4 linked regions of the Drosophila melanogaster genome follow. The protein of the gene in region 3 interacts with the protein of the main gene of each other region in a pairwise test. Each region holds a gene or a part of one and is shown on either strand. Other genes may lie near its edges.

Region 1 (8,504 bases), on a different chromosome or scaffold from region 3:
CCCGCTTATCTATCGGTTATCAGGTCGCTGGGTGGTTTTCCCGCCGTCGACAGAGACGCCTGGAACGCCTCCAGCTTCAGTTGGTTCAACATGAGCGCCCATCTCAGCAACTACGGCGTTCGCAGTTTGATCCACGAAGAAATTCTGCCGCAGCATCCCTTCAATCCGTACTTCAAGCTACCCGAACTGGGCTTTGACCATGTCGTCCACACCGCTCACGTTGCCAATACGAGCTCGCGGGCCTACCAGCTCAACGAGCATCGCATGCGTGGCTACCTGAAGGAATACAATCTCACGAAGGATGAAATCTCTGCCGTGATCGAAGGCGTCTTTGCTTTTTGGAGCGAGGCGCTCAGTATTGAGGATAAGTTCGAGAGCGATAGGGATAAGTGCGATTTGCTCAGTGAGATTGAGGAGGTGCCGCGATTTGGTCAGTGGAGGAGCTACTACGAGATAGCCTGGAATGGTATAGACTTTTACAACGGCTCGTCCGGTGGCGAATTCTGCGACTTTTACTATGTGGAGCTCGACAAGGTGTGCGCCAAGCATACGGAGGCGGTGGCCAATTATCTAGCCATGCGGTTTCTCTACCGCATGGACGACAAGCTGAAGGAGCCCAAGCAGCCGGAGGACCAAAAGGTTAACTGCTTGATGATCGTCCAGATGACGCTGCCAAATCTGTTCAACAGGCTCTACATGGCGGTGAGTTGGATGCTGTGAATATGTGAAGCTTAGCTTTTCAATTGATATCAACTAACTTTCATAGGAGCACTTCACCGACGAGAAGCACTCGGAGATCTCTGACATGGTGACCGAAATGCGAAAGGCCCAGCGACAGATCCTCGAGAGTGTGGAGTGGTTGGACGCGGAGACGCGAGCAGAGGCTCTGAGCAAGGAGGCCGGCATCACGCCAGTAATCGGCAGTTACAAAAACGAAGAGCTGTCGGACACTCTAATCCGCGAGATCAACAATCTGACCATTGTTGAAGGCAGCTATGCCCAGAGTTTGATCAATCTGCGAGTATTGGGCACCTATCTTCATCGCTACGCTGGCTTACATGCGGACGAGCTGCCCAAGGACACAAAGCCACTGACACTGCTCGTGGGAATGCAGGTGAACGCCTTCTACTACAATCTGGATAACTCGGTGTACGTGATGGCGGGAGTACTGCATCCGCCTGCGTACCACCGTTCATGGCCCGATTCCTTGAAGTTCGGCACCATTGGCTATCTGATAGGTCACGAGTTGACCCACGGCTTCGATACGGAGGGCTCCAGTTTCGACAGCGCCGGCGAAGTACGCGACTGGTGGTCCAGGAAGTCGGAGGCGGTATTCCAGGAACGGGCGCAGTGCTATGTGGATTACTTCAACCAATACTTGATACCGGAAATCAACCAGACAATTCGCGGCAATGAGACAAGGGACGAGAACATAGCGGACGCCGGTGGCTTGAGGGCCGCACTCACCGGCTATCGAAACCACATGAAGCAGCTGCAACGAAGTGGAGCGGATGGGGAGACGTTGGCTCACAAAAACGAGCAGATGCCCGGCCTCGACCTGTCGCCGGAGCAGCTCTTCTTCGTGGGATTCGCGCAGCTGTGGTGCGCCGACTACGAGCCGGAGCACTACTGGGAGGAGCTCACTGGCGCACATACCGTCGATAAGTATCGGGTGCTGGGTGCCGTTTCCAACAACGACGATTTTGCTGAGGTCTACAAGTGCCCACTGGGCAGTCCAATGCATCCGAAGGCTGAGAGTTGTCGGATGTGGTGACCATAAGTCGTATATAAAGGAAAAGATGTAAAATACTCTAGATGTTCAACTACAAAATAAATGAAAACAGGAAAAATAATGCAAATCGACGATATAGTCTTACACATTTCTGCAATTGAGTTAACTCACTCGACTTTACCCATTTACTCTTAATAGTCTCTTTATTTCTAATTGGTTTTAATGAGCAACGTGCTCTGAGGATTTGAAGGCGTTGGGTCCCCGGTAATTCTCGACCAGCAGGGATTTGTAGCGCCTCAGGTGGACGCTGAGTCCTTCCTCGCGCTCGCTGACGGAGAGGATTGAGACGCGGGCCACGACCAGATGGGAAGGATTCGATTGACTAAAGCCTCGGATTACGTCGATTTCATCGCCGACTTCCAGCTGTAAATGGTAAATCATAAGATTGAATTCGATCTATATATGGACTCCATACCTGGGCACTCTTTTTGGGCAGCTTCTTTCCATTGACGCGTATCTTGCTCTCGTAGAAATTCAGTTCCACTTTGCTGTGGGAGGTAAGACATCATGGTTATTGGGGGCATTTAGAAAACCTTCGGCTGTTTCTTACTTTCTCGCCATGCCCAGGCCAGCTTTCAGTAGGAGATCGGCGCGCAGTGAGTTCACCTTGGTCTTGACCACCTTGGAGTCCCTTTCGTCCTTGAAATCCTCATCATCCTCGTCGTCGCTGTCCAAGTCATCCGATGCTCGTGAGGATTTCTTGTCGTACTTCCACGCTGAAGCACTGGTGTGTACAGGAGCCTGCAGCTCTAAGGTGGTTGAGAGTTTAGGCAGACTTTTAGATGGAAATGGCGTCCTTAGGGATCTTCCTAGTCGGGCTATTTGACGAAAAGTCCGGAGCATTTTGTGTGGGCGCCTTAACAATTACGATAACAAACTGAATAACATAACCTAAAAACTACAGCTGTTGCGGTGGCGTTGCCAACCATCTCTAGGACTTGTTTGCCTTTTTGTTTCGTTTCTTTTTGGGTTTCTTGTCGGGATTAGGACGCACTTGGTAGACAGTAAGGGGGCGATAGTTGTGCAGATCTGCGGGCAGGAAATCATCATCATCATGTGGCTCCACCTCCATGGGCTCTGGGCTGGGGGACTTCTCTTTTTTAACAGGGTTATTTTTGACTTCTACTACCGGCTTTTTACTTTTGGCTTTCATTGCCAAATTACTGAGGGCATTGCCCAGTTTTTGGGTCTCCACCTGGACATCCACGCGGTCCAACTTTACTGAGGGTTCGTCCGAGAAGCAGGATATGAAATCATCACCCCAATCCTTCTTTTCAGCCACTGGGAGCTGCGGTTTTTTTTCCTCTTCGGCTGGTTTGATTATTTCGGGTTTCTTCTTGGGTTTTTTGTGCGTTTTCGGGGCTATCTTCTTAGCAGGTGTAGGTGTTCTCTTTCGGGCAGTAATCCACTGTTCCAAGTCCTCGCTTATTGCTTTCAAATCTAATGGCAAGGCCAAGGAAAGCGCTCTAACGCCAAAGATTTCCTGGGTAAGCTCCTCCAGTTTGGGCTGCGCGTAAATGGGAGCCGTGGGCATCTTGACAGATGCACTGGTGGCCATTAGACGGACGAGGTGAGTTGGTCGCAGGCTCAAGGAAACCAATAGGCAGGAGAAACGCCGCGAGTTTATGGCGCGTAGGGAGCTCTCCAGGCCGAGATGTATTCCGTATCGAGTGGCAAACGATTTGGTCTGCCCGTCGCTGCTTTTAATTGCATTCTGAAGGATCTGACGGAACTGCTGCACTTCCTCCTCCGATAAAAGAGGGCTAAAGTCAAAAGAAACAACCTGTTGATTGGGTTTTTATTGGTTTCTGCCCGCCTCACCTGTGCTGTTTGTAAGGATTGGCTAGAATATTGCGCAGTTTGGGCAGCAATTTCTTTTTGCCCTTAGCTTCTTTCTGTTTTATGCTGGACAAACTCATGTTTACGATATAAACTAATAAAAAATAAAAAATTTCTGCTGAAAAATCAAACAACAATGTGTTTGGCTTTTGGCCAGTGTGACCGCGTTTCTTAGTTTAAAATAAGCCATAGCTTAAATCGCGTTGCCAATTGCTTTACGTTTTTATTTAAATTAAAACTCTTAATTTTTGCTTCTAAAAATTTTTAATCAAACTCTTAATTTTTATTTGCAATCATTTTCAGTACCAGTAAAGTTCCGGCTCCGTGTCCGAAGAGTACTTCAATTTTCTCGGTCTCTGGCGAACGTAATCTTCGACGAAATTCAATTGCCTTGGTGTTGTGGTTTCTACTTGAGTTTCTACTATTTCCGTTGTTGTTAAATTAAATCCAAATGGTGTTGATAATGTAGAACTTTCCTCTTCGGTGCTGTCAATCACTGCATCCAGATACGACGTGGTAGTTTCCACGCCCGGAGTCGTGGCAATGATTTCCAGCAAGGATGTAGTAGATTCCTGGGTTTCTGTGGTTGAAAACAATTCTTCTGTTGAAGTTTCTGCTGTTTCAGTTGTAGTTTGATCTGTGGATAATGCAAACGTGGATTCGTTCGGTTCTGTGGTAGAATCAGCAGATTCAGTCGTTGATTCCGGCAATTCTGTAGTGCTTGGATTGATTTCTATTTCTGTGGTAGTTTTTATTAGTTCTTTCTCTGAAAATTCAGAACTTAAAGTAGTCGTTGATTCCGGAAATTCCGTAGTACTTGGCATAAACTCTGTTGTTGTTGATTCCTGCAATCCTGTAGAGCTCTGAATGGTTTCTGTAGTAGTTTCTTGCCATCCTGTAGATAAATCTGGATAAATTAACGTTGATTCAGCATATTCAGTACTGTCTGAATTGCTTTCTGTCGTTGAATCTGCAGCTTCTGGACTCGAAGTTGTTGTGGAATATAGGGCTACTGATTCAGTGGCATCTATAGCATCTGTGCTGGTGACTTCCGGCCAAGCTGTTGTCGTGGAATATAAAGTATCCGTGGTTGAAGTTACATAACTAGATTCGGTGGTTGAATAATCCACCGCCGTAGTTGTAGATTCCTCAGTGGCACTTTTCTCCGTTGTAGTAGATACTTCCCCAGTGAAGTAGCCAGTAGTCTCCTGCGGATTGGTGGCCACCGTAGTTGTGTCCCAAAAATCTCCATCGAACGGATTGGTAAAATTTACGATGCGCGGCTTGTAGGGTGTGTAGATTTTGGCTTTGTAAGGCTTGTGGTTCTTGATGTATTCCTTGGCTATGCTAATCCACTCCTCGCGACCGAGAATATCGTTTAAATTTCGGCTTGAGGCCACAAAATGCGCCATTAAAAGAAGCAAACAGAATTTTCTCATTATGATGCTGATACCTTCGGTTGACACTTTCGACTAATTACCTTTGGCGACTGCAGTGCAATATAAACGCAAGGGTCTACCTACGTTTCAACGCGTATTTTAGCTACCTGCTTTCTTGGCAAAAACGTTAATTAGCCCTAATGAACTGGAAAATTCAAATGTTGCCGCCAGGGCTGCAAGCGCTTACTTTATTTGTGCTGGCAATGCCGTAGGTAATGCCGGCCGCTTAACAGCTGAGTGTTTTTCGGGGAAGAAGAAGAACAGCGTGTTTGCAGTCCGCGTTTTTGTGTAAAAATTGTGAATAATTATATTATTTGCAGTTTTCTTACGTTTTAAAGAAGAATTTAGCAATCAGAAGGTCCTGTAACAATTGGTAAGTCGGTAAAAACAACAAAAAACAAGAGTAGCATAAGTTTCGAGTCACCGTGAAAGTTTTAAATTTTCTAAGACGCCACCGGCAAATTTTGAATGAAAGTATTGATATATATATTTATTTTAGGAAAAACCATGGATTCCGATTTGTACGATGAGTTTGGCAACTATATTGGCCCCGATTTAGACAGCGACGAGGAAGATGAGCAAAGTATTTATGGGCAACCCGATGTGCAGGATGACCCAGAGGTATAAACGTGCAAAAAATAAAATAAAACTTATAATTAATTTATGGTGTTTCATTTAAAGGACGCCATGGACGAGGACGAGGTGGAGCCACAGGAGGACGAGGACAAGGAGGTGACCGCCGTGGTTTTGCACGAGGACAAACGCTACTATCCGTCAGCAGTTGAGGTCTACGGCCCGGATGTGGAGACCATTGTCCAGGAGGAGGACGCCCAGCCGCTGGACAAGCCGCTTATAGAGCCAGTGAAGAAGCTCAAGTTCCAGATCAAGGAGCACGTGGGCATCTTGACAGATGCACTGGTGGCCATTAGACGGACGAGGTGAGTTGGTCGCAGGCTCAAGGAAACCAATAGGCAGGAGAAACGCCGCGAGTTTATGGCGCGTAGGGAGCTCTCCAGGCCGAGATGTATTCCGTATCGAGTGGCAAACGATTTGGTCTGCCCGTCGCTGCTTTTAATTGCATTCTGAAGGATCTGACGGAACTGCTGCACTTCCTCCTCCGATAAAAGAGGGCTAAAGTCAAAAGAAACAACCTGTTGATTGGGTTTTTATTGGTTTCTGCCCGCCTCACCTGTGCTGTTTGTAAGGATTGGCTAGAATATTGCGCAGTTTGGGCAGCAATTTCTTTTTGCCCTTAGCTTCTTTCTGTTTTATGCTGGACAAACTCATGTTTACGATATAAACTAATAAAAAATAAAAAATTTCTGCTGAAAAATCAAACAACAATGTGTTTGGCTTTTGGCCAGTGTGACCGCGTTTCTTAGTTTAAAATAAGCCATAGCTTAAATCGCGTTGCCAATTGCTTTACGTTTTTATTTAAATTAAAACTCTTAATTTTTGCTTCTAAAAATTTTTAATCAAACTCTTAATTTTTATTTGCAATCATTTTCAGTACCAGTAAAGTTCCGGCTCCGTGTCCGAAGAGTACTTCAATTTTCTCGGTCTCTGGCGAACGTAATCTTCGACGAAATTCAATTGCCTTGGTGTTGTGGTTTCTACTTGAGTTTCTACTATTTCCGTTGTTGTTAAATTAAATCCAAATGGTGTTGATAATGTAGAACTTTCCTCTTCGGTGCTGTCAATCACTGCATCCAGATACGACGTGGTAGTTTCCACGCCCGGAGTCGTGGCAATGATTTCCAGCAAGGATGTAGTAGATTCCTGGGTTTCTGTGGTTGAAAACAATTCTTCTGTTGAAGTTTCTGCTGTTTCAGTTGTAGTTTGATCTGTGGATAATGCAAACGTGGATTCGTTCGGTTCTGTGGTAGAATCAGCAGATTCAGTCGTTGATTCCGGCAATTCTGTAGTGCTTGGATTGATTTCTATTTCTGTGGTAGTTTTTATTAGTTCTTTCTCTGAAAATTCAGAACTTAAAGTAGTCGTTGATTCCGGAAATTCCGTAGTACTTGGCATAAACTCTGTTGTTGTTGATTCCTGCAATCCTGTAGAGCTCTGAATGGTTTCTGTAGTAGTTTCTTGCCATCCTGTAGATAAATCTGGATAAATTAACGTTGATTCAGCATATTCAGTACTGTCTGAATTGCTTTCTGTCGTTGAATCTGCAGCTTCTGGACTCGAAGTTGTTGTGGAATATAGGGCTACTGATTCAGTGGCATCTATAGCATCTGTGCTGGTGACTTCCGGCCAAGCTGTTGTCGTGGAATATAAAGTATCCGTGGTTGAAGTTACATAACTAGATTCGGTGGTTGAATAATCCACCGCCGTAGTTGTAGATTCCTCAGTGGCACTTTTCTCCGTTGTAGTAGATACTTCCCCAGTGAAGTAGCCAGTAGTCTCCTGCGGATTGGTGGCCACCGTAGTTGTGTCCCAAAAATCTCCATCGAACGGATTGGTAAAATTTACGATGCGCGGCTTGTAGGGTGTGTAGATTTTGGCTTTGTAAGGCTTGTGGTTCTTGATGTATTCCTTGGCTATGCTAATCCACTCCTCGCGACCGAGAATATCGTTTAAATTTCGGCTTGAGGCCACAAAATGCGCCATTAAAAGAAGCAAACAGAATTTTCTCATTATGATGCTGATACCTTCGGTTGACACTTTCGACTAATTACCTTTGGCGACTGCAGTGCAATATAAACGCAAGGGTCTACCTACGTTTCAACGCGTATTTTAGCTACCTGCTTTCTTGGCAAAAACGTTAATTAGCCCTAATGAACTGGAAAATTCAAATGTTGCCGCCAGGGCTGCAAGCGCTTACTTTATTTGTGCTGGCAATGCCGTAGGTAATGCCGGCCGCTTAACAGCTGAGTGTTTTTCGGGGAAGAAGAAGAACAGCGTGTTTGCAGTCCGCGTTTTTGTGTAAAAATTGTGAATAATTATATTATTTGCAGTTTTCTTACGTTTTAAAGAAGAATTTAGCAATCAGAAGGTCCTGTAACAATTGGTAAGTCGGTAAAAACAACAAAAAACAAGAGTAGCATAAGTTTCGAGTCACCGTGAAAGTTTTAAATTTTCTAAGACGCCACCGGCAAATTTTGAATGAAAGTATTGATATATATATTTATTTTAGGAAAAACCATGGATTCCGATTTGTACGATGAGTTTGGCAACTATATTGGCCCCGATTTAGACAGCGACGAGGAAGATGAGCAAAGTATTTATGGGCAACCCGATGTGCAGGATGACCCAGAGGTATAAACGTGCAAAAAATAAAATAAAACTTATAATTAATTTATGGTGTTTCATTTAAAGGACGCCATGGACGAGGACGAGGTGGAGCCACAGGAGGACGAGGACAAGGAGGTGACCGCCGTGGTTTTGCACGAGGACAAACGCTACTATCCGTCAGCAGTTGAGGT
Region 2 (6,698 bases), on a different chromosome or scaffold from region 3:
TGCAACAAACGGTGAGCTCAAGTAAACAAACAATTTAAATGGGTTAAACAAAATTTAAATAATAGGAATCCAATTATCTGGGTGACTATACTGAGGCCATCTTCGAGACGAGTGTGTCGATGAGCACCTACCTGGTATGCATCATTGTGTCCGACTTCGCTTCCCAATCGACCACGGTGAAGGCCAACGGAATTGGCGAGGACTTCTCCATGCAAGCCTATGCCACCTCGCATCAGATCAACAAGGTCGAGTTTGCTCTGGAGTTCGGACAAGCTGTCACGGAGTACTATATTCAGTACTATAAGGTGCCCTATCCGCTGACCAAACTGGACATGGCCGCCATTCCCGACTTTGCATCTGGGGCCATGGAGCACTGGGGATTGGTGACTTACAGAGAGACCGCTCTGCTGTACGATCCCAGTTACAGTTCCACAGCGAACAAACAATCGATAGCCGGAACACTGGCCCATGAGATTGCACACCAGTGGTTCGGAAACCTGGTCACCATGAAGTGGTGGAACGATCTGTGGCTGAACGAGGGATTCGCCCGCTACATGCAGTACAAGGGAGTCAATGCTGTGCACCCGGACTGGGGAATGGTAAGGAAATGGATAATACCGATTTGAATCCTCAAAGAAAATATCTTATATTTACCAATCAGCTGGAGCAATTCCAAATCGTGGCCCTGCAACCCGTGTTGTTATACGATGCCAAGCTATCATCCCATCCGATTGTCCAGAAGGTAGAAAGCCCCGATGAAATTACGGCCATATTCGACACCATCAGTTACGAAAAGGGAGGATCCGTGATCCGCATGCTGGAGACACTTGTGGGCGCCGAAAAGTTTGAGGAGGCGGTGACCAATTACCTGGTCAAGCATCAGTTCAATAACACGGTGACCGACGATTTCCTCACCGAAGTCGAAGCTGTGGTAACTGACTTGGATATCAAGAAACTGATGCTCACCTGGACCGAACAGATGGGTTATCCGGTGTTGAATGTCTCCAAGGTTGCAGATGGTAGTTTTAAGGTTACCCAGCAGCGATTCCTCTCCAATCCAGCCAGTTACGAGGAAGCCCCTTCAGATAGCGCATACGGATACAAATGGAGTGTTCCGATTACCTGGTTTGCTGATGATGGTTCAGAGAACAGCTTCATATACGACTACGATGTGGACTCTGTGGGTATTGCCGTGCCCAGCGAGGTGCAGTGGATCAAGTTGAATGTCAACCAAACGGGCTACTATCGGGTTAACTACGAGGAGAGCCTGTGGGCCCTGCTCATCCAGCAGCTAACCACCAGTCCCGCTCGATTCGAAATCGCCGATCGTGGCCATCTTTTGAACGATGCCTTCGCCCTGGCGGATGCCAACCAACTATCCTACAAAATTCCTCTGGATATGACCGCTTACTTGGCCCAGGAGCGCGACTTCGTGCCCTGGTATGTGGCCTCCAATAAGCTGAGGTCGCTCCATCGCAGTCTCATGTTCAGCGAGGGATACGTGTCGTACCTCACCTATGCCAGAAGTCTGATCGCTGGCGTATACGAGGAGGTGGGTTGGACTGTGGACGCCGACAATCACTTGAAGAAGTACGTATATAAGTACCAACTTGTTTTTCTGAAAACATTACTCAAACTACTGTTATTCAAACAATCTTTATTCCTTTGCAGCCGCCTGCGTGTTTCCATTTTGACCGCCGCCTGTGCCCTGGGTGTTCCAGATTGTCTGCAGCAGGCTTCCGAGCGCTTCAGCACCTTCCTGGAGAATCCGACCACTCGACCTTCCCCCGATCTTCGCGAGATTGTCTACTACTACGGCATGCAGCAGTCCACCAGCCAATCGAGCTGGGATCAGTTGTTCCAACTCTTTGTGGCCGAAACCGATGCCAGCGAGAAACTGAAGCTGATGTACGGATTGTCTGGCGTACGGAACAGCCAGTATCTGTTCGACTTCCTGGCACAGGCCTCCAGTGATGAGAGCATCGTTCGCTCCCAGGACTATTTCACCTGTGTGCAGTACATAGCCGCCAATCCTGTGGGTGAACCGGTGGTCTGGGAATTCTACCGCGAACAGTGGCCCCAACTCACCACCCGTTTTGGCCTGAACAACCGCAACTTTGGACGACTTATCGCCCAGATTACGGCCAACTTTGCCAGCTCCGTGAAACTGGAGGAGGTTCAGCACTTCTTCTCCAAGTACCCCGAATCGGGAGCTGGAGCTAACTCCCGGTTGGAGGCCGTGGAAACCATCAAGTACAACATCGAATGGCTATCCAGAAACGAAGCTGACATCACCGACTGGCTAAGTGGAACGGCCTCGCCGCTGACCAAGAAAAACCAATTGTAAAATTGTATATTGTATATAAACTGGCCATTTAGCCAATAATTAGAGTTGCATAAGCGAAAATTCCGTTCGAGTTCAATAAAATGAAATTTCAAAATCAAACCATAAATACAACCCCCATATTTTCATTCATTTTATCCGAGGCAAGTGGGGATTTCTATAGCTTCTAGGAAATAATTGGAGATAGGGTCTTTGAGTATATGGTCAATGCGGAATCATGACCATGCGTAATTATCCTGAGTAATTAGAGTGTCCAGTCATAATAGTCGATATATGGCCTTGTTCGAATCGTAAAAGTAATGGTCTAGCATAAAACGATTTTATCTGGACACGAAGCTATATAGTATATAGTCTAGATATCGGTCAGCAATCTGATCAGGTTTATCAAGTCCAAATTGTGGGGTCAGATTCGCAACTTGCATTCAGTTTCCAATTTGGCTTCCAGCCTAGTGGAAGCAGTCGAGTAATTTTCATCGAAAAAAGAATATCCCTAAAAATGGTTGCCTGTGAGTCTTCTATATAGAGTAGCATATCCCGAAGGAACAGTAACTAATGTGAACTCATTTTAGGGCTGACGGTTAAGTCAGTGGCCATCTTTTTGGGCCTGGCCTCTACTGCTTTTTGTGTGGCCACGATTGTGCTGGCCGTTCAGAATGCGGACCTGGAGAACGATCTGCAGGATGCCCTCGATAAGATCGACGCATTGACGGTGGACACCACGTCCACGTCCTCCACCTCTACCAGCACTTCCACGACCACCACCACTGCAAATCCCAATGGGCCCACGGATGACACCGAGCCTGGCTCTACCACCACACCTGGCGTAGGAGGTGACACAACCCCCAGTGCAGGAACATCTCCGGGTGGTGAAACTTCGCCATCATCCAGTACAGGAAGCACCACCAATCCCATCTATCCGACATTGCCGACAGGACTTCCTGATCCTGAAAAGGTGAGTGAAGTGCAAGAAAAATATATTTCACGGCTATAAAAGATGTTAGTTCAGAAAAACCCTCACACAGAGTGGGAAAATTTTCAGCGATTAGACGTAAAGTCGGCATGGCTACTAATTTCGAATTTATTAAGTTCCAACTTAGTCTTACTGGTCATTTCAAGTGCTTATCGCTTGGCTAGCGTTTTTTTTCCTCTTTTTTATCATAATACAAAACGGGTCTAATTTCTTGGGTCTTTTAAGTTAGTTTAATTGCGGCTAACGCAGTGTTAGGAGCCACAAAAATGGGACACATGCAGGACAGGATTAAGGGTATTTATTGATAACGAAGGAAGTTTTGGGAAAACACCGATACCGATTCATGTATATTTTCATAGACTTGATCACCGCTGAGCGCGTGGCTATATTCTTTGGTCTATTATCGACCTGCTTGATCGTTGCCCTTGTCATTGTGGCCGTCCACAGGGATAATTTATTGCTGCAGTTGGACGAAGCCAAAAGGATGTTGGATGTTCTGGAGGAATACATTCAAAGCCACTTGTTGTCCACCATTTCGGAAAGAAATTCATAAGAATTAGGGTGCTGGCAAACATTCAAAAAGATGGCTTTCAAATCCATATCTATTTCCAAAAATGGTTAAAGCAATAAAGCAATAAAGGCAAACGGATAAGAAACCAAAATACGCTTAGGTTTCAATATTTGTGTAGTAGAGCTATTGTTGTTTGATATCTGAAATTGCACCTAATAAATTAGGACCCTAATTTCACAACATTTAGCCACTATATCCAGCTAAGGCATATTTGTTGCAACGACGTCCACTTGGTTTACGACCTGACCACAACAGTGCTATTTCCTATCGCCACCTTATCAACGCATTGCTCACTTAATAGGGCCAAAGCCCATTATCGATGGCGTGGATATTAAATAAACTTTACGACCCCGCAGATCGAATGGCGCCTGCCCACGGAACTGACGCCCATCAAGTACAAGGTGTACTACCATCCCGACTTGACGACCGGCGCCTGTGAGGGAACCGTGTCCATTCAGTTCCAGCTGAACGCGATCACCAACCTGATCGTCCTGCACGCCAAGGAGCTCAATGTGCACAGCATCAGCATCCTGAACATGATGGCGCGCATACGCGTGGCCATCGATAGCATCAACTTGGATGAGTCCCGGGAGCTGCTCCTGATCACGCTAAGAGAGGTCCTCAGTATGAACAAGGCCTACACACTGTCCGCAAGTTTCGACTGCGATCTGAGCAGTCTGGTGGGCAGCTACATCAGCAACTACACGAATGCCGATGGAGTAGATAGGTGAGTAATTTTAAGGTATATCTTGCGATGACAAACATTTTGTTAGCATGTCTAGACTAAGATGTCAGGTATCTTTATTATATCGTACTATTTATGTAGCTAAGATCGTATCTAGTGCACTGTCCGCAACTAGTACGATTGCAAGCACACTTGTGAATACCCCCAATGCATTGGAGATCATCGCATGTTGGGGCCATAAAAAAGCCGGTCTCAGCTGATGAGAGAGCTTTCCGGAGAAGCTCGAGTGCCGTGACAACTTTGGAGCCCGCTTCAGTCGGAAGTTCAGAGCAGAGCGCGACGGTCGCGATAGAAAAGAGCGGACTCCGTCTGCAAATACGATCTCAATTACGATTCTCGCGATTCCCCTTTCTTTTCGCTTTTCTTCGTTTTCTCGGATTTCTCGAGTGCGCGCCTACGATTTGAATCAAGAATGATAGCTGTCCGGCAATTGCCGTTATCAAATTAGCCGAGTGAATATTCCTCGGACCCGGCAAAGTTACAATTAATGCCATTCGTAGACAAAAGAAAAACGAAAAACGAGACACGAAAAGCTGTGATTTCAACTGTAAATCAAGTAAAAGGCATAGTGCGAAATGTGACGGGAATAATAGATAATAAGTGGCCCATATCAATCAGATACCGTTGAGTCCGCTCCAAAAGCTCCACGCCAATACAAAATGACCATTGTCACCGCATCGCCGTTATGCGATCAAAATTCTAGTTTTAATTGGGCGCATTGAGGCGATCACTATTTTTAATATTCGCTGAAATGTGACCACCGGATTCTATGCCAACTTTGACTTTCAACGGGTATTCGTTTCGATAAACAACGGGCCATCGCAGGCTGGCCAAGAGAACTCCACATGGCTGAATCAAACAGGTTGCACCGCTCCCTTCCCCTCCCCTCCTTCTTTCCCACACCCCTTTGGGACCGCTGCAAACAGGCTTGGAGCCAAATGCATACATAGTTCACTTGCCGCGCAAGTTCTTGGCCTTAAATCGGCCACAATCGATGCACAGCAAAAAAAAAAAGAAAAGAATTATATCTATCGTAGCCCATTATCAGATTATATTGGTATGTCTCTTATCAACGAGAAGTAGATTCTGTTCGTAGTTGCATTCTTTGACATTTATCAACAATTGTTACCAATCTGATTATAAGAAAAATTAATATCACAGTTTTTTTAATTATCAATATTATCAATATTATAAATTGTATATATAAATACAATTACGGCAATTAGACATTTTACTTCTTCATTAGATCTTCAATTTGTATCTTCGATTTTGTTGGTAATCATTTGCTTATGATTTTTTTTGCTGTGTATCTGTGGTTGTTGGCCAGCAAATGCGTCGTGTTTACATCTTCAATGCGGCAAATACTCAATGGCCGCTGAGAAAATACTTTCTTCAAAAAGCCGCAACAAAATGGGTCGACATCATTGACTGCCAAGAAACTTGTTGTCATAGTAGCTTCCCCTACCCGTTTCTCGCTGTGTTTCCTGGGTTTGTTTTGTTCTTGAAAGTTCAGTCAAAGCTCGGTGGTCAAACCTTTTTTTCATTTTCATTGACACTGATTTCTTTTTCGTTCTTCTTGGGCGAAATAGAAATTTTTTTATTTCCAAACGGTGGGAAAGAACCTTCGAAAGTGGAGGGCTTTTTAATTGGATTTTTGTGCTAATAATGTAAATTAACGGCTGTTGTTGGCAGAATTGATAAGGCACTTGACACCTTTGGCGGTGTGTAAATTATACAATTTAACACCTTGAAGTTCATTGATCTACATGCTGAAATATAAACAATTTCATTGATCTTCTATTTATAAAATATTTATTTATTTATATTTCAATGAACTGTTGATAAAGCTTACATAAATATTTGTAAATATCGCATGGTTTCGAGTTTCCTATTTTCCAATATTGAAGTTATTTATAAAGTGTATATCATGAAATCTATAGCATTAAATTAAGCAAGTCAAGGCCGAAGTTTCCTCTCCGATTTTATAGTTTATTTGTGTTGAAAGTGATGCAACCCATTGATTAATAGTAAATTTATTTCGCATTCCGTTAACCCCAAACATGCAAAT
Region 3 (8,520 bases):
TGTGCTCCAGCTGCGACTTCTTCTGGTACATCTGTTCGATGGACAGGGCCTTGTTTCCGTTCTCCATGATGCTTCTGTCGCTGTGCTTTAGCTGAATCTTCAAAGAGTAAGCAAAAGGCATTTGTTAATGTAATATTAATATTAATAACTAATATTCCGAGCCATTGCCTTAGCTACTATTAATCACTCGTCCTGCGTTCTACTAAGTAAAAAAAAAACCAAAGCTACTAGCAGAAGACTACAGTACCCACCCAGTTAACAGTTGCTATTAGTATATTAGTAATATTATGTTCACGTTTTTTTTTTAATTGTTATAATACCAAATAAGATAGATGGCACCCAATATGTTTAATGGCCTCTTAATAACGGGGATGGTTGTGCGTTGGCATGTGATGCCAATGCTGCTGATGCTGCTGTTCAACAATTTTTTATTAATGAATGCGCACTGTACCCACGGTGAAAAAAAAAAACAAAACGCGCGCCCGCGCATTGCGTAAATGCCGTCCAGACAAACGCTGCAATGGAATGGGACTTGGCCAACATGGGAAATGGTTGGGTACGTCAAACAGAAATAACTGCAGATAAATTGAAAAACGTCAAACTAAGTATTATTTTGCCTGGTGCTACTGTACTGGGAACAGATTTTCAGCACACTTTGAAATACATAACAGCCCTGTCTCTTTGGCGGCAACGCTTGGCGTGCGCCGTCTGTTGCGTGAGTGTGCGTGTTTATTGGCGTTTGCCGGTAGTCACCGCTATTTATTATTTCTTATTAAGGTTCTTCGAGGGGTTTCACTTTATAGTAAACAAATTCAGGCCTACATACGCGCTCCGCGCTACAAAATCAAAAAACTATGGTTTTTAAAGGCCCAAAATTAGCTAAATGTCTATACCGGTATCGCCATTTTTAATTTGCAAGCGACGCCACCGAAAAATTGCTATATCCATCATATTAAAGGATTAATTAGACAGGGCTCTTAGGTTCTACGGTACAGCCAATTCTACGATTATGATTCAGCACTTTCTGCTTACCTGGTTAAAAAATTGCCAAGTATTTGTGGCCTTTTCTTGCTGCCGCCGACAACCGAAGTGCGGCAAAACTCTATGTTGCAGGCGATACACGAGGCGGTGCACTACAATTTTCGACTTGTACGTGCCCCACGCGTCTGCTGCCTTTAGCTAAAACTTGTACAGTTCTCAACTAACTATTAAAATACGCACAGCACATTTAACAACTTTTCACAACCGACAACAAATGAGAAGTATTGCTGGTTTTAGAGCTGGCAAGGCGCACAAATCGATGTTTGAATGAAATCGCTATCGATAAGTCCCATAACAGTGTTGTTTGGGTTGGTGCATACGCTCATTGTGAACAGGGCTAAACTAGTAACTGCGGTCGGTGACTCCGCTAAAAGCGTGATCGCCAAAATCACGGTTTTTTAGTTCTATCTCAATCACGTGATGAGTTAAGCAACAGTTAATTCTAAAAAATTCGAAGGTAATAAATAATAATAACATTTTTGGGGTTAAATTCTTTTTCGAGTCGAAAGTAGGGGTTTTAATTATTCCAACTAACATTTCTTCTATTTTTTACATTATAAATCGGCATTGAAATAAATGTAAAAAAGATAAAATATTTCGATCTAAATGCAAATTATCAAAAATTTAAGACAAAGTAAAACCATTAAGAAATTTATCCTTTCATATGCTTAGTATTGTATCCCACATCAATGTGATATACAGCAATTACTTAAAATGAAATGAAATGAAAAATTGCTGCTAAAGTTGCATTTGTGCAATTAAATTTCGCACCGTTGAAGTGAAGATTGCTTTTCAATTAACCACCTGGTAATATGAATATTCCAAAGCCAAGACCATGGCTACAAGAGAACTGGTTTTCTTTCTGCCATTTTGCCTGACCTTGCCCAACACGACGTCATAAAGGGGCATGTCCCTCCCCATCCCGTTGCGATTTTCATTCCGGCTCAGAAACATGTTTTGAATAGTGCAAACAAAATATAAAGATTCTGGATTCATCCGAGTTACTCGGAATTTCTGCTTGGGTAATGGAGAACCCTTCACGCAGTGACGTCACCGGAGCTCATTGAACTTGCACAGCATCGAATATCGTCCAGAAATATTCTCTACTCCTCCAAATCTGTTGATTCTCGTTTGACAAGCATCAGCAAAGATCTCTCAATATGCGGAGTGCAGTTTGTACCCTGCCAAATTGGGAATTTCAGCTGATGCATGGGAAAATTGTGAACTAGCGGAGTTAAGTGCAGTTTATTCCAGGATACTATTAGCAAGTTGAACAAGATGTGAGCTAAAACTCCTAAGATTTGGTAAGATAAAAAGATAAACATAAGTACTACAATTAGCAATTAGTTTCTTTTTTTTTTTTTTGAATAAATTGTATGTATATGTATTGTTAATCAACAAATTTTACTTAATTGCGTTTTTAAGGGTGTTTGCATCGTCGTTTCATCGAGCTGGCTCTCCCTATTTTCAGATGCTGGTTTCTCGTTCTCGCATACTGGTTTATAGTCATAAGTGCTGCGCTTTTTCTCGACTTTTTCCATTGAGACTTGTGTTCATAAAATCTTCTGTTCTAAGCGATCCCCAGCTCAGTTTCATTCCAAGCTTCTGCGATGCCACTTGTGTGCGATCTTCGTTAAGTCGGATTCCCCGTACTGCAAGCTGGAAAAAATAGAAACCGTGACCAGAAACAGTAACCGCCACTCGGATTGGATTATTACCTGGTAATGAAAGTGAAGACCCCGAGCTAATGGGGCGATTTAAACAGGTGTTTAAAGGTGCAGGTGGGGCTGTGAAATAATCGCTTATTATCAAACACCCTAATGGGGGGCACTATTATTGTGATTATCTTGGGATTATCAAATCCATGTAGACAATTAACGACAACAATGGCGAGTTCATTAACACTTGAACCGAACTACGAGTATGTATGTGCTGGGACTTAAGCACTGCAATCAGGCGTACTTAAAAGTGCATAATGTGTAATTAGTTGGAATTTGTTGAATATGATTAAATATTGACCCAGGCACTTTGCACGGCCACCACGTGTGAAATTTGTGTGTGCTGCACTTTGAGATCGCGGTGGCATCATCTCACAGTATCTGCCAAATACGCGTCGAACTCACACAACGCTGCACCGCACAGACCCCAAGCGACCCGATTAGCCATTGGCGAACTGGGAACGCGGCGGATAATGCCTTATCAGGCAGTGGCTCCTCTACAATCGCGGGGTTCACTGGGGGCAAGTTTGGGTCTGGCTCTGCGTTTTGGGGTGTAGGGATAGGAATTGGGAAATCCGGCCAAGGCCAGGTCGAGGTACACCTAACAAGAGCACATATTTTGGGGCTGATGCTGAACACTATGCAATTCCAAGATTAAGCTAGCAATGTAACAATCGGTACTAACCCCCAATTAGTATATATTTATATTATATATATATATATTATTATATTATATTAATATATTTTAAATGATTTTAAAAATTTTAATGATTTCATTTTGCATACATTGTTTTGAAAGTGTACCTACCTAATGTATTGATTGCTGGAAACAACCAACCCAAAGGCAATGTTTCTAAAAACTAAGTGCAGCCAAAACTGAGTAATTGCACAACACTTTACTTATACTATATTGTTTATAATTCTTGTGGATTCCCGCTCCATCAATTAAGTACAGCAGATTCACTAAATTTAGCTCGAGCTCAGTGACACACTGTTATCACTCATCGGCTGTCTCCTTCGCGCTATCGCAATGTTCATTGTTGTTCGGTTTCTAGTTAATATTTAATGGTCGCATACACACTCGTACATGTTTAGCGACAAGTAAAACAGCATTTCGCCTGGGACTGTCACCACTTGGCCCGATTCTGGTTCCGATCGGGGGCTCAGTTTCACACTTGGAGTCGAGCGGATCACAGCCCATAAATGGTAACAACGAGAAATTCATCCAGCAGTGACATGCCAAATCTCTCTGAAATTTAAATGTCAATACGGGTGGCGAAATGTTGCTAACAACGAAACAATCGGGAACAGTCATATTGCGCTATTCTCAACTGGATTTATTTTTATTTACATTTTGCGCGAGTGAAAAGCGCTTATCAATGCACCACCCCCTTATGGCCACATTGTATCTATAGTTTGGGCTTTTTTTAGACGACCAGCAGTGGATGCCGCACCATGCCCACCATCGAGCACAAGCTAAACATCACCGAGGAGGAGGTTCCGGAGCACATCCGCCGACTTGCCCAGGAGCAGGGAGAGTGTCCCAGTTCCAAGGATAAGGTCATCGAACAATTCCGTAACTACATACTAGGTTGGTTATAGTCCGTTGTCTAAGAGGTACAAAGGTATTCATCTGAACAAAACCTCTCCAGAACATAATGAATGCCAACCACACAGAAGTGATGCGAAGTACCTGGAGAAATTCCTAAGAGCCCGCTACTGGAAAATCGAGAACAGTTACAAATTGGTAAGAAAACTTGGGGAAATCTTCATTTTAGTTTGCCAACAGCAAGTGACTATTTGATAATTATCTATTAGGTAAATGCAATAACTCATTCCCTTTCAGCTCTGCAGTTACTACAGGTTTCGGGAGCAGAACAAAAGCTTTTATGAGAAGGTTCGTCCTCTGGACCTGAGACATGTTGGGCAATCGGACATCCTGACAGTGACTCCCTATCGGGATCAACATGGCCATAGGATACTCATCTACCGATTCGGACTGTGGCGACCCAATCAAGTAACCGTCGACGATATATTTCGCGCCACCATTGTCCTGCAGGAACTGGGCAGCCTGGAACCCATCTCACAGATTGTCGGAGGAGTGGGAATATTCGATCTGAAGGACCTGGGCTTGGAACACATACTCCACCTGAGTCCCAGCGTGGCTCAGAAGATGATTGCTCTACTAGTGGTAGGATAACTACTTTTTATTATTTTCAATAGCTTTTTTAACCTACACTTGGCTTGCAGACCTCCATGCCCATTAGAACATCCGCCCTTCATATTGTAAATCAGAATTGGGTCTTCAACGCGGCATTCAAGATATTTAAACCTTTCCTCAACGCCGCTATGCGAGAAAAGCTATACATCCATGGCAGTGACATGACTTCCCTGCACAAACACATCAACCCAGAACATCTTCCCAAGCGGTAAGTAAAATGGTTTTTTTTTTTTATTAAAATAATTAGTCAGATATAATTAAACTTATACTATTTCAGCTATGGTGGCTTGCACGAGGACTACTCTTATACGCTCTGGTTGGATATGCTGAAGGAGCAGTGTTCGGGCAATAGTATCCAAAAGGATATGGAGCAATTGGGATTCATCTTTGACTAGGCTTCATGCCTTGTTTAAAATGATATGCTTGATACTTGTATTTTTGTACTACATATATGTTAAGTAATGATACCAGAATCAATTGAAGCAAAGTAGGTGATATTTTAAATATTAAAGAATTTCGAAAATTACTTCTACGCAATATTACTCACCAAACAATTCATTTGAGTTTCGTTCCCAACAATTTGAGGTTAGAAGCGGCATAAACCGTAATGCTTCATACATTTGGCGGTCACATCAATGACCCATCGGCTATCACGACCAAATTCGGGGCAAAAGGCAATAATAATTTGTTCCTAACCGAATCAAATGGCCCGGCTAGCCCGCAAAACATTCGTTTCGGTTAGGATGTATAGCATATTGGTCCTTTGAGTTTTATGCGATTCGTATGCAAAATGCGTTAGGTGCTAGAGCGAGACAACTGGCCACACGACCATTCGCCGTTATGGTAATTGAGTGTTGGACAACGCATAAAATGCAGTCGGTAGCCATAAATATGTTTGCACTCGTCCTGTCACCGGATGTGAGCGAGAGGGGAGATCGAGCTCGACGAACAGAAGGAGGGTGCTGGAGATTTCGATTCCTCCATCTGACCGTTGCGAATATGTTTGATATTTTTTATTGAATCCCGTTGTCTCAACGCTATCCTCCGACCCCCGGAAGTCATTGCCGTCTGCGTAAAAAACGGTAAAGAATTACTTTCTCGACTTAAAGTTACTCTGTATTGTCAATTAGGTTTCATGGTTAAGATTTAGAAATTTATATATGGTTACACCCAAAGCTTCAGAGTTTAGAGCATATACTATATATAAACTGAAATTAAGTATATATAATTAAATGTTTGCTTTCGGTTAAAAGTATATTGCTTCACAAATTTTTTTCGTCCAAGTGCAGGGTGTCCAAAGTCAGAATCCTGCCCCCTCTATTCTCCGCAATGGCCTTGCTTTTCCGTTTGGTCAACGATAGTGAAATTGATTTCGGTGCTACCGGGGGTCTAGGTTGGCATTATGCGTATTATGTGTATGTGGCTCGATTGTGGGGATGGGGGTGGCCATAATCTGTGTGCGTGCTGGACAGCTGTGTGAGTGCGTATAAAGGACAGCGACATTTGTGCGATTAAAGCGACAAGATTAAAAAATTTATTGCGCAAATATTTATGGGGGGACAGTAACACAGTGGCAGTCAGAACGGAAAAAACATTCGGACAAAAAACACACATCGCATAGCCTACATTTGGGGGGCACGACCGATGCGCGTTATTAGTTGGCTTTTTGGCATTTCGGCTTTTGGCTTCTGGCTTCTGGCAACACGTGTGTGAGGCGAAACCGAGCTGGACATAATTTATGGCTGGCAAACTGAATTTATTCGAGTTTTATTGAAAAACAAAGAAGGCGGTCAGAAGGGGCAAAGGATTCGTTTTCTTCAACATGTGCTGTCTTTTAAGTAGCCAATGTCTTGGGGATTTCGAGATACACATAAATATATCATTCCGAGGACGACAGAAATCTTTTTGACCAGTAACTAAAGGAAAGTCATTACAAATTGAGCAAACGAGTATCCAAAACCATTTAAAACCACTTAGATAGTTCGCTGGATTATTAACTTTAAAGGGAACCATAGTTGGTACTTGTTTGATTTCTAATTAGTGTCATTGTGTGTCTCTTCTATTAGTATGCTCTGAACTCAATTTACTCTTGAAATAACCTCCGATTTATTATTCCGTAGACATGCAGAAAGCCAAATTCCCCAAAGAACTTCCTCAATTCGAACTCATCTGCTTCCGCATCTCACTTCCGAAATTGGCCATATTATCCAGGAGACACATTTGAGGGCGTTCCCCGGCTGTCAACTGTCACCGAAGGCAGTGTCAAACTGACAGTCGTTGACATCCGTTGACAGTGTACCTGACCTCAATTTTTCCCTCTCTCCCAGAAGATATGTTTGCAACCCTAAACGGATAATTGCTTCCTAATGAGCTGGCAAGGGTGACCCCGACCGAATCAACCCCTCACTCACACCCCGTTTGGGTTTCCTTATCACCGAAGGCGGTTTATCACGCGGCGATTGGCAGGCAGATCCCAGGCCAAAAGCAAAACACAATAGGAACAAATAAATTATGTCCAGCGATTTGTAAACAAACATCAACTGTGCCGAACGGGGGTCAATTTCCCACTGCCCCGCGAAGTGAGGATTGTTCGGGCTTGGGGGATTTCCATAAATAAGGACCAGGCCAGACCAGTATAATTGAAATATTCGCTGTCAATTTGTTGACTCCGGAAGACGACGACTCCAGGCCCGAGGCGAAGGTGTAAGCTGCATAAATGGTGGATCGTTATGGTTCTGTTGCCACAGACACCGATTACCACAGGTCCTGCCGCAGGACGAAGTATGTTTGCTCGGCGAAGGACCTCCCAAGTGATAAATGGTTGCGAAATTTATTTACTTTGCACTACCGACTGCCAACTGTGTGTGTGCCAGAGAAAATTATGTGTGATTATGAGCTATTGAAACATCATAGGGACATTTTGTGTTTAGAATTTGCTTTTAAAAAATAAATAGGAATTTCTTAAAGCGAATAACTTTTTTACTTGATTAAATAGTTTTGTAGAATTTAATTTCTATGTTTTTTAAAAGGCCAACATTAGGTTAAGAAGTATGTATGTTTCCTAGAAATAAAGGTTGCTAGCTAGCCTTTTGGACGAGAATTTTTGCTTTTAAATGAGTGATTTTGAGTCTCATCCTAAAATTAAAACTGGTGCACATGCACTAACTTCCAGTCTATCTTGATCCTCCGTCACAAGTCATTAATGCTGTATTGGAAAAGTAGGAGCATAAATCGCGTAAAAACTCATTGTGCAACAACACAAAGGAGACCCCCAATGGAGTTGCACTCCCGCTGAGATATGTGGATGGAAAGTGAGGTGGTGGCTGGTTTTCCACCGGGGTACGGAAGGTAAATTGACGTGAACATGTCAACGTTATTTGCCATTTCAAAATCGATTTTTTGTAGATTCACCAGGAGACGCTCGTGATAAAACACGACTATACTTCGTGCTTAAAGTGCACTTGAGGCGATGATCTGCGGGATTCCGGGGGCGATGGGGATGGACTGTCGGGTACAATCAATCACATCACCACATGGCAG
Region 4 (6,916 bases), on a different chromosome or scaffold from region 3:
AAAGTAAATGACTTAGTATGGTATGCTATGTTCCAAAAAATAAATACCATTAGTAAAATACTAAATAATTGTTAAATATACAACGATCTCTTTGTATTTATTGTAATTTTACCGATGTACTTCCTACATACCTTAATTTAGCAGTGTGCTGTTAAGGAAAACTTTTTTTGTAAGGCTGTGCCGATCTTAATTATTTAATTTTAAATAGTTTTTAATTTAGTTGTATACCAAATATTTTAGGATACATTTTATTCTTGCTAGTCTTTTAAGTTTAATTTTAATAGAGTCCTTAAATATTGATATTTTTCATCAAGTTTATGATCTTATTACTATAGTTATTATAAATTCAATGAATTCAATTCAATTAAATTCAACCTTATATGGCCCCTTTCAATATTACTATTATAAATAATTTTTTTTAGAAAAAATACACTTAAAAGATATACACACAATAAAAACATATTAACCTTATTTTTCGTAAAATCTATTTTTTATGCACAGACTCAAAAATTCATCATACCCTGCTTTCTCAAGGGTAAGGACATGCTCCTGATTCCGAGACCGCTTTCTCTTGGCTCTCTTTTGTCTCCCGCTCTCACTGTTTGTGCAACCACCTGCAGGCAGTCTGCCTTCCCATTGGCTGGGTCCATCGATCGAGAGAACCGCCGCTCTGTGCGAGAATTCTCCCCCGCCGAGAGAAACCAAAGAGAGCAAATCGTATATAAGGAGTCGGTCGTGCAGCAGGAAAACCAGAATACTACCAACTCTCAACCGAGTGCAACCAACTAAGATCCCAAGTTTTATTATAAATCTCAACAATCCTCAACACAATGTCGTTCATCACACGGGAATACAAGTTTGAGAGCAGCAAGGTGATGGAGCCGAAATCAGATCAGCACACGATGGCCATGCGGAGTCTGAGGAAACTGGTCAAACCCCTTCTGCGACTGGTGAAGAAGAAGCAGCTACTCCGGAAGACTCTGGCCGAGATCCAGAACCAAAATGCAGTCAACGCCTCGCTGGAGGACATGCGCAAAGATCCGGCGGCCAGTTGCGATAACATGGCCAACGAGGAGCTGGAGCAGCGACTGTACACCGATCTCCGCCAGTGCCCCACCAACGTGGCCATGATCGTGCAGCAGGGTCAGCAACAGAGCATCGTGCCCGTCCATCCGGAGCAGACCTTCATCCCGGTCCACTTCGCCCGCACCACCAGCGGCACCTTCTTCTGGACCTCAGCCGAGGGAGCTCGCCAGCACCACGAACAGCAGTTGCGCCAGCAGTTCGACCGTTGGGTTCAGGCCTAAACATCGCCAGGATGCACAGTTCCACTTCTCGATGCACCGGGAAAAACTCCAATTGGCAGCTTTAAGTGCAAGTGTCTCCGTCCATTGGTCGTCGGATGGATGCGGGTTCAGCTTCGCATGTTCGTAATCTCAGGGTGATATTAGGCATAGATTGGATTCTTTGGGCTCGCGTCCCAAGGGAAACACAACTCTAATTGATATTCAATTATCACAATCAAGCGTTACTATCGTTAACTCATTGTGATTTATCGTGTCTTATTAGCCTTAAGTTAGTCTTAGCCGAATCATTGTCTTCCATGTTTGTTTGTTAGGGTCTTCGTATAAGAATTAGGCTAAGAATCATTGTCTTCCATGTAAAACTTTAGCTATAAACACTAATATCATATAAGAAATAAATAAATCGAAAAAAGGAAATTCTAATGTCTCTTTATTCTGAAAACTGATATGAAATAATATGAATAAGGTTGGAAAAGAAAAATCCCAAATTGAATGACCATTGTAAGTATAGTTAAATTCGGCTACTCTGTACAATTCTGATTTGAAGAATGGATTTTAAATTGGACTCGCTATGCTGGTGAACACATTCCAATTAGTGACTGCATTCATTCCTGCTTGGAGACCATTTGAATCCAAAAATGCTGCTGGTAGGCAGTTGGAAATACTTCCGTAAGAACAATAAAGAATTTTATTTACATTTATATTTAGCCTGACCACAGGCTAATATAATATTCACCAAATATTATTTTTTGTCTTTCATACAATTTCTGCATCTGTTATCGTTAAAATATGATTTTTGTTTCAAATATACCTAATATATACCTTTGTAGTATATATGTATTTATTTATTTATTCTATTTATATTTCGAAAATATTGGTATAGTAAATATCATATCTTTTCATATCATATTATGGTTCACACGCTTCACACGCACCCCAACCACCTAGCGCGAGGTCTAATCCAGCTCAGCAGCCGTTCCCGTCTCCGGCGAAAGGACCTACCAACCCAGCGAATAAATTATTAGGGCCGTTTAAACATAGAACAGTTGGAAAAATAATACAACTGTTCAAAAAATACTTGTTATAGTTAAGATTTTTAAACTTATTGTTAGTTCTTATACAAGAAGATTCAATAAATAAAAGCAAAGTAAAATAAAAAAAAAATATTATGGTTAAAAAAAATTACTGTTTGTATCTACAAATATTAAAATACTACAAAGAATTCTTCAAGAACTAATTATAAGAAAACCATATCAAATAACCCAGTCTAAAATGAATAAAATAATTTTTAAAAATTTTGAATGTGCTACAAACGCGTGAATTCTCAAAATTCTTTAAATGAGTCAATGATAAATATTTATCACAATAATATCATATATAATATGTATGTATATACGGCTAACAAGCCACCGAACTGAAATAAAATAAAGATAAAGAATTATGTATTAAAGAATACATGTATTTTCAGTGTAAATAATTTTTTTTTATAAGAAAAATGCAACATAAGTCATATTACAACACTCGATCCACAATATTTTGTTTCACGATAGCCACAAGCTAATTATGCAGGCTTCATTCTGGCGCTTGAATTTCAGGAAACCTGACACTAACAACTAAACTTGAAACGCCACCAAAATAAAATCTTCAAGTGCTTATGGGGAATTATGCCTGTGGAATAGTTAAGCGAGCCACAAGCACGCTAGGTTCCTGGTTGGTCACCCCCCAAGTGGATGGGCCAGGATCCTATCCCACTCCATCTAATGCAACTGGATTGGAATACGAATGAATCCCAAATTACAAGTGCCAAGTATTTCAATAGGAGACGAAATTCGAATTTCAACAAGAGACGAAATTTTAATTTTCTTGGAGAGCCCGAACCAACACACAAGTGTGGGGACAGTGAAACCTGTCACAGAAAACCATATTTCCAAGTGGTGGTTCCATGCAACAAGAAATCCAAAAATATCTTAAATCCCTATAGCAGATTTAAGGGAAAGATAAAGAAACCTTTCATGCAATAAACGAAGAAATTCGAGTTTCATTACGCTCCAAATTCAAATTTTGCCAAGGACCAAAACAACCCCGAAGAACAAGTGTGAGGACAGTGAAGCCTGCCAGAGCAACTACGCTGCAGTGAGTGTGGAATCTTGAAAATCCCTGCACACCTTCGAGCGAATGTTCACTGTACTCGAAAGGACCACAGTCTACCTGTACTGATCAAAAATGAAATGTTGACGTGTAAATATTTCTCGTTTGCCGACAACATGTGTTTAACGAGGGTCTGTCACTTTTATCCTCCACTGTCAGCCTATTAACAATTAATAGCCAAAAACTAATCAAGGCATAAATTCGAGCCGAGTCCTCCGCAAACAAACCACTCAAATTACTAACCCGAACCCGATGGAAAAGGGATGATCGTTTATTTTTTCATTTCTTTCATTTTTTGGCTATTTGTTATGCTTGCCGGCATCGTCCTCCTATTGGCATTCGACTGAAATTATACTCTCCCACGACGAAAACGAAATCGAGGGAGAGATTTATTTAGGGCCTACGAAAATTGTGGCCTTACTTCGCACACGTGCAAGGGTCGCTCAAAAAAGGGACCCGAAACGATCCCGAACTACCTGCAGAGAGTTGAGGAATGCGTGACTCTCATATTTTGAGAGACCGAGAAACACCTGCGCGCTAGGACTCGTCCTGATTGGTTGACTTAGGGGTTGCTTTCGCAAGGATCGGGTATTTAAGCGGTGCGCAATTCCGAATAGGACATCACATTCAATCGCAACGTTGAACAGCCAAGATCAGTCGACCAAGCAAGCAAACTACTAACTAGCAAAAATGGCCTACGAAACTCTGATGAACACCACCATCTACACCACCACTCCTGTCTGCCAGAAGAAGACCTACACACCCGCCAAGGCCATGAAGAAGATCTTCAAGGTGGCCTGCAAAATCTTCAAGGCATCGGGCCACCAGCAACTGAAGAACCACTCCATGCCGAAGGAGCTCCCACTGCCCACTTCCGAGGAGGAGCTGCAGAACTCCCAGAACGAGCAATTGGAAGCCGAGCTCGTCCAACTGTAATCGAGGAAAATGGGAAATCCGAAAAAAAATACCACTTTCCAATCAGCTTTAAAGACTCCAACGGATTCGGTCTCTAAACATCATCCGCAACAGCTTTAACTCTCCACACTGTGCAAGTGGAGATTTTAAAATGAAATGCACAAATATCCAGCTTTAATCATTGTCTTCCATCTATGTTTAAGAGAGTATGAATAAATACATAATATTAATACCGAAACTTGTTTGCATTTCTGATTTCTTATTCGAACTTTCCCTTTGTCATTGTAATTTCCTCGAAGGTTTTTCCAAGAATCTGTAAGCCAAAAACCGTTCTTATCCCGTACCCCTGACCCTTCCACATTCACGGAACAGCGAGACCCTAAGAACCTTAACTCGAAAAACAAAACCTTTACCTGTTCCCTTTTGTTGGAAACCTGTTGTGGATTCGAAAAACTCGAAAAATCAAGCCGAGTGAGCCGGGGAAACCTGTTACCTCCAGGCGATTTCTGATTTTCGTTTTCAGCGCTCCTTCTTAGGGTTGGGCCCTGGACAAAATAAATCTCGAATTGCATCGGAACAGGTAGAGGGTCCCGGTCCCAGTCCCTCGGATGATAAACAAAAAAGGCAGGGGCCCTACGCTACGAGCAGAAACAAAGCCAATCCTATCTCAATAATAAATGCGAAAAGGCCGCACGGTTCGGTTCGATCTTTATGGCATTTCAAAGGGGGCATTCTCGTACATAAGATCGTGTGTGCGTTATGTAAATAGTTTTACATAAAGTCGATGCAGATTCCTTATTGAAAGCATACAACCAAGTACAGTTCGGGATAATGTTACAGGTTACAGGACCCGTTGGAGTTTTAAATGGGCAATGATATAATACAAAGATAATGATATGATGATATGATGATGATAATTTTATTAAAGAAACAAAAGTTTAATTGATATTAATAAATCTAAATAAATATTTGTGTTTGAAATCAAGATAATTACATAAATATTAAAATAATTTATAGATTTGGGCGTTGAATTTAATTTTATTAAACTCTTATTTTTTATTTTTGTGATTCAAACTCTGTTATGTGTAGGATTTTGTTTGAGTTGGGGTAAATCAAATAACAATATTTAAACCATTACTAAACATTACAATAAATTCGTTTATAAGATAGTCGCAAAAAATGTGTTGTCGTCGCTTTATTAAAAACAACAATATTTTATGATATGTATCATATATGCAAATATATATGACTAATTAATTAATATTCATTATTATTATTTATTTAAAGATTCTAAGACCACTTACTTAACAAACCATAGACATCATACTTCTTCAAAACAAAATATTTGTCTCTGAGGATTTCAGCTCTTTTGTGGCCCTAAGTAATAGAAAAAATGAAACCTCAAGTAAATTTATATTAGTGATTGCTACAAACACAATTTGATATCAATAGGGCCCAAACATCTAAACAGACCTCATCTGCAGTTTTATATTTCTTTAGGATCTTTTCAACCATTTAAACACGGGTTACAAATTCTCACAGGCTGTAAATATAAATGTAAGGCGAGCAATCACCACATCCCACAATAAATGAGTTATAATACGATACATTCACAAAAAATGAACCCCCATTCTACAATTAATTGAGGGGTCTGAACCAAAAAAGTGAGGACTAGAGATGTTCAAAAATGAAACCCTCTGTCGTGACACGAAAATATTTGGGAAGCCCGCTGCCCAAGTAACCAAAATACGAGGAGCTCCCCAACTGAACGTGAGAATTCTCAAGATCGTGCCTCAAAGGACTTTCTGCGATGCCATCCCTAATCAACCGAACCGAAAAACATAAGAATGAAAGTGCACGATTTGTGTAAATTTGGCTTAGATTGTAGCTGGTTTTCGGTTACAGGATCGACATATTTCTGATGAACTGGCAAAACAAACCCAGTCGAAATCCAAAACAATAACTGGGTCTCCGAGAGAAGGCCGGCAATGTGCTGTTCCCACGCCAAGGATTCGTTTGGAACCCGGGGATAATTGTCTTGAAAGGAGGAATGGGCCCGAGATTCCCACGCTTCGCACAAGATCTCGAATCTCAGGTCCTGCAGGACCTACCTGCTGCCACTGACTAACGTGTGAAATTTCGGATCCTTGCACCTGCCTGCCTTCCGAGCGACGTGATTGGCTGAGATGCTGTAGCATCGCTCCTGTCTCCCAAGAAAGTATAAATAGCGCCTCTAATCTTAGTGACAGCATCACACAGCATCCGAACGTCGAAGCGAGAACATCCCAGCACGCATTCTACGCACTCACCACCAGAAAATATCTGAACGAAATTCATCTAATGTCGGCCATCAGCAAGCAGAAGACCCTCAACACCATGTACAAATCGAAAGTCTCGCCTTCGCGTCGCCTGAAGAATCTGCTGAAGCCGCTGCTCGGTCAATTCTTCAACATGAAGAAGGAGCAGCCCAAGAGGAGCTCCTACATCGCCTCCGAGGAGAAGGAGGCCGAGTTCGAGTGGCTCAGCAACGATATGGACAACATGGCCAA

Evidence for each region.
Region 1: the proteins of CG10026 (region 3) and CG4884 interact in a two-hybrid assay, tested with the Drosophila melanogaster proteins (one large-scale study listed by BioGRID).
Region 2: the proteins of CG10026 (region 3) and CG43208 interact in a two-hybrid assay, tested with the Drosophila melanogaster proteins (one large-scale study listed by BioGRID).
Region 4: the proteins of CG10026 (region 3) and Brd interact in a two-hybrid assay, tested with the Drosophila melanogaster proteins (one large-scale study listed by BioGRID).

Annotation. Positions count from the first base shown.
Region 1 is NT_033777.3:27,955,465-27,963,968, forward strand, and holds CG4884 (uncharacterized protein), read right to left. Parts: upstream 3,782-8,504; 5' UTR 3,712-3,781; coding exon of another isoform or gene 3,614-3,711; intron 3,556-3,613; coding exon of another isoform or gene 2,724-3,555; 5' UTR 2,636-2,723; coding exon 2,343-2,635; intron 2,281-2,342; coding exon 2,208-2,280; intron 2,156-2,207; coding exon 1,952-2,155; 3' UTR 1,892-1,951; downstream 1-1,891. Other genes in the region: Nep7 (neprilysin 7), read left to right, coding at 1-702, 767-1,774; CG42487 (uncharacterized protein), read right to left, coding at 2,724-3,555, 3,614-3,711; CG31253 (uncharacterized protein), read right to left, coding at 3,931-5,070; CG31131 (uncharacterized protein), read right to left, coding at 6,577-7,716; CG4849 (uncharacterized protein), read left to right, coding at 8,224-8,337, 8,398-8,504.
Region 2 is NT_033777.3:13,299,885-13,306,582, forward strand, and holds CG43208 (uncharacterized protein), read left to right. Parts: upstream 1-3,541; 5' UTR 3,542-3,580; coding exon 3,581-3,608; intron 3,609-3,673; coding exon 3,674-3,867; 3' UTR 3,868-3,972; downstream 3,973-6,698. Other genes in the region: CG8774 (uncharacterized protein), read left to right, coding at 1-11, 66-599, 662-1,590, 1,672-2,347.
Region 3 is NT_033779.5:19,452,219-19,460,738, forward strand, and holds CG10026 (uncharacterized protein), read left to right. Parts: upstream 1-3,459; 5' UTR 3,460-3,962; coding exon 3,963-3,965; intron 3,966-4,190; coding exon 4,191-4,350; intron 4,351-4,411; coding exon 4,412-4,506; intron 4,507-4,605; coding exon 4,606-4,950; intron 4,951-5,009; coding exon 5,010-5,188; intron 5,189-5,257; coding exon 5,258-5,375; 3' UTR 5,376-5,505; downstream 5,506-8,520. Other genes in the region: Top2 (topoisomerase 2), read right to left, coding at 1-67.
Region 4 is NT_037436.4:14,968,597-14,975,512, forward strand, and holds Brd (bearded), read left to right. Parts: upstream 1-4,070; 5' UTR 4,071-4,142; coding exon 4,143-4,388; 3' UTR 4,389-4,602; downstream 4,603-6,916. Other genes in the region: Tom (twin of m4), read left to right, coding at 831-1,307; ocho, read left to right, coding at 6,708-6,916.